Linked DNA regions of Macaca fascicularis. The protein of the gene in region 1 purifies or fractionates together with the protein of each later gene. This does not show direct contact. Links are inferred from orthologs where the notes say so. Each region holds a gene or a part of one and is shown on either strand. Other genes may lie near its edges.

Region 1 (3,652 bases):
AAACTTCCTGTAGAAATCCGTTGGGTTAACAGCCAAGTTTTAAATATACAGCTTGATTCTTTGCTTGTCTGGTAGGCAAGGGCTCACCTCCATGTACATTTTAGCCAACTCCCAATAAACCTGTTGACTGAAAAGTACTCACTGGAAAAATCTACTAAAGCCTGCTATTTTTCTAATGGGTCTTAAACCCAAGATTCACTGACAGCAGGCAATTATATATAAGCTCTCATTAAGAGAGGAAAATATGATCACTTTTATACTCTCAAAATATCAAGTCAAAAAAAATAAAATATTTTTGTCTAAAGAATCTATTTACCTGTATTTTGTGCTCATGTTACCAAACATTTGAGTGCTATCTACATGCCAGGAACTGAATTCAGTGTTTTAATTAACTTGTTTAATTCTCATGACAATCCTTTTTAAGGCATTATTAACCTCATTTTACAAGGAAGGAAATAGACCCACAGCATTTGAGTAATGGGCATAGGTCGGAGAGAGCACACTTAATTAAGACTCTAATAAAAACCTAAGTGAGATGTGAAGTGGCAACAGAGACTGCCTGGCACACAGTGAGCAGAGTCACTGTTGGCATGTTGTTCTGAGTCGAGTCGAGGCCTCCTCTTGGAGCTTAAAGTGCCTGTGTCAAGAAAAACGCTCTCAAACCACGTTCTTCTCTACTCTTTCTTTTTTCTTTTCTTTTTTTTTTTTTTTTTGAGACAGAGTTTCACTCTTGTTGTCCAGGCTGGAGTGCAATGGCGCAACCTCGGCTCACTGCAACCTCCACCTCCCAGGTGTAAGCAGTTCTCCTGCCTCAGCCTCCCGAGTAGCTGGGATTACAGGCACACACCACCACACCCGGCTAATTTTGTATTTTTAGTAGAGACGGGGTTTCTCTATGGTGGTCAGGCTGGTCTCAAACTCCTGACCTCAGGTGATCCACCAGCCTTGGCCTCCCAAAGTGCTGAGATTACAGGAATGAGCCACTGCACCCGGCCTCTTCTCTACTCTTACACCACAACAATCAACACAGAAGATGACTTCTGTGACCAAAGGTGTGGCGGTTTCTCCCCACCACCAAGATTTCCTCCAGTTCAATTCCAACACTATCTACCTGGAAAATCAGAAAAGTGGAACAAGATTAGAGTCTTGCCTTGTGGCAGGTGAAAGGAGGGCAGGAGAGAGATCCTGTTTCTTGAAGCCTGACACCGAGGTCTAACACACCCAACATTATAACAAAAGACTGTAATAAGGGCTAAGGGAGTTATGAACCAGGAACTGTGGACAAAAAACAATATATATCAGAACACCACAGTACCCATGGCTCTTGATGCCTTACTGAAAAAATACTACATATTGGCTTGCTATTCAAGTTATTCCCAGACTTTTCAGTGATTATCTGGAAATAAGACATGCCTAGACTATTTACTTTTATAACATTTGTTACACATTTAATGTCAAAATCCTCTAGATAACAAGGATACATAACGTGTATTTTATGAAAAGGTTTCTTTAAATTTTGTGCAAAACAATTTACAAATAAATGATGGAATAACTAAACAAATGATAGTATAACCATAACATACTGCAACGGACTAGCTGGGAAAAGGGCAAAAATGTGAACTGTTGAAGATTCAACTAGGTGAAATATTCAACTGAATTTAACAAATGTAGAAAAATAAAGGGAAAAAGTATCATCAAAAGGTCAAGGCATAAGCATGGCTTTGAAGCCAACTGCAACTCCTGGTGTTCCCACTTACTGGCTCTCAACTACTATAAAATAGGGAGAAGAAAATAACATCCACTTTCAAAAAGTTTCAGGGAAAAGAAACAGTAGCATATAAAAGCCCAAGCTCTGTGCATGTCACATACTAGATACGCAGATGTGTCTGTCGTTTTCTTACTAGAGCCCCTGAAGTTAGACCTGTATGCAATACAGGGGAAAGTACAATACGGAAAACTAGGATTTGTACAACAGCCTTCAAACTAGAACATACCCGGCTCAAGTCTGTTCCATATTTACGATGAAGTTCATCAAGGCTAAGTTTATGATCATCCTAAGGGAAAAAAAAAAAAAAAACAGAAACAAAGAAAATAAACAGTGTAGTATAAAAAAATGACAAAAAAATAGCATTACTCATTACTATCATTAAGCTTATTAAACGAAGTGCAGATGTTTTCTTCAGTGCAGAAGTTGGTACACTTTTCACCATCGCTTCATGGCTTCACAACCATACAGCTATCATTGACAGCTCTTCACTGGAGAATGGCTGAAGCTGAGTGACGGTGGCCCATTACTACTTGCCGCAACACTTCAGAGAAACCCAGCAGCTCTCAGGGATCTAGTAAAACCTTATCTGCCTTCTCTGATGACTAGGTCAATTCTAGACAGGTTAAGTAGATGGAAGCTTCCATAGCCTGGAGAGGCTGAATTTCCCAGTGTTTGATATAATACAGAGAAAAGCAAAGACTCATGATATCAACCTAAGTTCCTTCTGTTGATCTGTGGTTATGCCAGATGACTGCATTAACTTTTCCTATCCTCTAACAGCTTTTAAAAAGAAAATGTTCAATATTAACCTCTACAACAAGATGAGATCTGTACAGCTGCTATGATCTCTTTTAATATAAAGCAGTTCTTTGACTGAAGAATACAGTGAGGTTTGGGGGATTAAAAATCATGGATTTTTAATAAGGATGGAATACAATATTCCTCCTAGTACTTACCATAGAAACTTCTTTCTTCAGTTCATCCATGTCCCTGTCTTTTTTGCCCTTTTTGCCCTTTTTATCACCTTGTTCTGAAACAGCTGCAGGCTCATACTTATCACGTCCAACCTGTAGGAGAATATGGGAAAAGTAAGGCTATGAATTATGACCTCATCTGAAACTGAAAATTCTGGAGCAGGGGATTTTGGTAGTTTTTAAGGTAGTCATAATTTGGAATAGTCATTAAGATAATAGTCAAGAAAATGTATGCCTGTATATTGCATACTACATAAGCAAAGCAATCTACTATTAATACATTGGCTTAAGATACATTCTCTCCATCCAAGAGCATTAAGACCAGTGGGAAACTCTTAACACCTATGAAGCCACCGGTAGGCTTCAGAATGGCCCTGCCAGCGCCACTTCCATTTGGGGTTAATGAGATTTTTGCTATCAAAATCCCTATTCTGCAGCCTTCCATCTTCCCTACTGAAAGACTGAAACTAACTTTACATTATTAATTTAGAGTGCAATATTGTGCTTATGAGTCCGCAGTCTCAATCAGACAGGCTTGAGTTAAAATCCTGGGCTTTACCACTTACCAGCAATGTATCCTTAGGCAAGTTACTAACTCCTACATTTCAATTTCCTCTTCCATAGCATGGAGATAAAGAATACTGCCAACCTCATTTTGTGTTTTTAAGGATTAAATGATACAAGACATCTAAATGCTAGTACTTTTATATTATTTATATTCTTTGCTTTGCAAATACATTATTACATATCAAATTTAAATATCTTTAGTGCTCACATAAGAACACTCACCTTTACCAGCTTCTCATATTAAAAAGTCAGCCTAAGACTCCTTAAAATTCTTTGCATAAGAGATTAAAAAAAAAGGGAGCCCCCACCCCATTCTGTAGCGTGAAAATAAAACCTCCAAATG
Region 2 (3,652 bases), on another chromosome or scaffold:
GGCCCATGGTCTCACTGGTGGAGAACTCAGCAACCGCAGGAAGCTGGGAAAGGAGATATCCGAGAAGCAGGTACACTGTTAACAGGCGTTCTTCCAACACCTAGGATTGTTCTGTGTTATTTGGAAAAGTTAAAATCTATTTGTTTACCATTAATCAATCAAGACCAAGACAAGGGAAGTCCTTTGTCAGCAGAGGATCTCTAAAGAGGGCTCACAAATTAAAGTTTTCTACCCACTATGTTTTTTTTTCAACTTTACCAAATAACCCTTTCCTGTAACTACAGAATCTACACCTACTACAGCATAGCAGAGTCCACATTGCCATACCTAATTCTAAATCTCTGCAGTGGGATGCCCTGCAAACACAAGCCTTACCTCAGGTGCTAGGAAATTCAATCGGAATTTAGAGATTAAAGACAGTCGCTGGCCCATAGATTTGGCCTTATTGAGATCAAGCATCAGTTTTCTCATTTTCCTTGAGTGACGAATAGGGATATCGGACATCAACTCAACACCACCTGCCACGATCACATCACACTGGCCAGAAGCAATCAAGCCAACGCCTACAGGGCACAGGTTATACTTCATGAATATCTTTTACAGAAAATAACATACCATTCCAATTTAAGCTTCTTGATTAAAAGGCTGAATAACAGTTATCAGCTTTGTACAACATCTGTAATTAAAGTTTTCAACTTTTCAGAAGAATTAAGGTAATTGTTTTAAATGACTAAAAACACATTCAACACGTTAGAGAAAAACAAGTTTTCATTCCTGCCATATGGACATCAACTTCTAGAAATATCCATTGGACCAACTCTTGAACAAATCATTATTCCAAACCAGAACATCTTGCATATTTATGCGCTCCCAGCTTTAGTTTTAAGAAATATTTTTTTATCTTATAAAGAGAATGTTAACTTCTGCTACAAAGCAGAGAAATTCCAGCTGTTAAAATGTAAGGCAGGCCCCCTCTCTCCTTATGGCCACTATTCTCTTTTTTTCTTTTTTGAGACGGAGTCTCGCTCTGTCTCCCAGGCTGGAGTGCAGTGGTGCGATCTTGGCTCATTGCAAGCTCCGCCTCCCGGGTTCACACCATTCTCCTGCCTCAGCCTCCCAAGTAGCTGGGACTACAGGCGCCTACCACCATGCCTGGCTAATTTTTTTTTTTGTATTTTTAGTAGAGACAGGGTTTCTCTGTGTTAGCCAGGATGTTCTCGATCTCCTGACCTCGTGATCCACCCACCTTGGCCTCCCAAAGTGTTGGGATTACAGGCGTGAGCCACCGCGCTGAGCCTATTCTGTTTCTCTAACCAAGAGTTGGTCACATGCTGCCTAGAGTGGTGAACACCCCCAGTCACAGGCATCATTCCCTGCCACATATGAAGTGGGCTGCCCACCTGGGCCTTGATGTTACTAGACGAGCATATGATTACTAAATCTTTCAGATTTCCTGTCTCTTCACACTACGGGCTGATGCTACAAAATACCCCGTAATTTTGTTAAAATTTGTTAGGGGAATTTTCAATGATTTATAAAAATGCCAAGGATGCGGGAAGAAAGTGAAGGAAAGAGCTGTGCCATCTAAAGCAATGATTTACAAGTATGGTAGTGGTGAAGGAAGGAAGACCATATCTTTGTGGGAAAATATCATATCTGAAGCACTAGGTTGAAAGCCTGGCAGGTTGTAAACTATTTACTCATGCTTCAGATGCTTAAGTACCTTCCTAGAGATATACTCCTCCATTTGATAATCCCTGCTGCAGCCAGCCACATTATTCACAGAGGAACCACGCCAATGGTAACATCCCTCAGGTATGGAGAGCAAAAAGAGAGGTTAACTATGGTTAGAACTCCCAAATTTTAAACTTGACCTTTCTTTTTAAAAAACACAAGTAGAGATCTGTGCTAATCTATCACTTCTCCTAAGAGTACTTTTTGGGATGAGCTTGGTGGCTCATGCCTGTAATCCCAGCACTTTGGAGGTTGAGGTAGAAGGATCACTTGAGGCCAGAGGTGTAAGACCAGCCTGGGCAACATGGCGAGATCCTGTCTCCACAGAAAACTGAAAAATTAGCTGGGTGTGGTGGAGTGCCTGTAGACCCAGCTACTTGGGATCCTAAGGCAGGAGGATCTCCTGAGTTCAAGAGTTTGAGCCTGCAGTGAGCTACGATGGTGCCAATGCACTGCAGCCCGAGTGACAGAGTGAGATTCTGTTTAAAAAAAAAAAAAAAAAAAAAAGTACATTTTTATAATCAAGTAAAAGACAAAGGAGGAAAATTAACATGTGCCGTCTGCTTCCATTTAAACATACCTGTGGTCATGGCTTGGTTGGCAGAGATACAAGCCATGGTGACAGTGTGAGCAGGAGTCTTGTCAGAGAAGCCAGCTCCAAGGGCAGCCTTCAGGAAATACAGTGAATGAAATGATCACTCTAAGGGAAGGGCATCATGTAAATGATGCTTTGAACACTAATCTTTATGGTCATCTGAAAAGGGTTTCAGTTTAAAATTCTCCAGAGCAATATTTAAAATAAAATTAAGCCTATCACAGAAATGGTTTACTAATATTTAATCATGCCATTAATTGACAGGTATATGCAAAATTCCTGCTGGCTGGTTTCTAGTGCAGACACGAGGCTATAATACTCTTCTAACTCACCTAATTTCTTATCGATGCTTTGCTCAGGGCCTTCAAGGATATCAATATATAATTTGATTTTAACTTGTTTAATGTTCAAATATACTTAAAGGAACCTATTAAAGACAGTTGGTGAAATGATGATGAAATATATTATGGGTTGGAGTCTTCACAATCTGTGTTATCAGGTCTCATGATCAGTCACAAAGCTTAGCAGCAAAGCAAAAGTGATTAAACATGAAAATGATTTCTAAAGAACTGACCATTCATAAACAGAGTTCCCACTCAAGACCCTATTTGCTTTACACCTATCTTTCTGCTCACGGCCAGCTGTTCTCTCTTACTGACCATCTGATACTTTGGTTAGCACACTGCAGACCCAATGCAAAGATGAACTGGAAAACTTGCCAACTATACAGAAGCTCAACTCAATGAAAGAAACTGGAGAATTGCCTGAGTTACAAGTGAGCCTGTGAACAAGTAAGGGTCAGACCAGTTAACAAGTGGCCAGGATGATGGCATAATAGGTGATACAGAGAGAATAATTTGTCATCTGAGCGGCTTTAAGAAAAACTGAGGTCATCATTAATCTTGTAAAAATGGCCTCTATTATAATGGCACAGTGAAAGTCAAACATGAAATGAGGACATCTATAATTTTATTATACTATTTATTGGGGGAAATTATGCTGCCAAAAACCAATCAATGTCTGATCCCATTTTTGTTTATGTAAATAATTAATGCATAGGTGCAACTGTAAAATACTTATTTTTATAATATTAAAGTTTTACTTTAGAAATAAAGCTTCCAGATTTCCCTCCACATACACACCCACACACTATTTACTATGAAATACTGGATCCCATTATAGGGAATTCATTTTTAGTACTCTTTTCCAAAACTAATTATCCTCAGAATGCAAACTCTCCTATAACTTAGTAAAATAAATGTTTCCAAAGTCTCAATTAGAGATTCAATGTCTCTTAACTGATTTTTACCTTTATACTTATTT

The links.
Region 2: the proteins of ATP1A1 (region 1) and HADHB fractionate together in Homo sapiens (co-fractionation; 3 studies listed by BioGRID, with this or other methods). This does not show direct contact. The link is inferred for Macaca fascicularis from reciprocal best matches to the Homo sapiens genes ATP1A1 and HADHB.

The regions. Positions count from the first base shown.
Region 1 is NC_088375.1:118,010,915-118,014,566, forward strand, and holds part of ATP1A1 (sodium/potassium-transporting ATPase subunit alpha-1), read right to left. Parts: intron 2,836-3,652; coding exon 2,725-2,835; intron 2,055-2,724; coding exon 1,995-2,054; intron 1-1,994. UniProt on the Homo sapiens protein: This is the catalytic component of the active enzyme, which catalyzes the hydrolysis of ATP coupled with the exchange of sodium and potassium ions across the plasma membrane.
Region 2 is NC_088387.1:95,960,831-95,964,482, forward strand, and holds part of HADHB (trifunctional enzyme subunit beta, mitochondrial), read right to left. Parts: intron 2,403-3,652; coding exon 2,315-2,402; intron 564-2,314; coding exon 376-563; intron 44-375; coding exon 1-43. UniProt on the Homo sapiens protein: Mitochondrial trifunctional enzyme catalyzes the last three of the four reactions of the mitochondrial beta-oxidation pathway.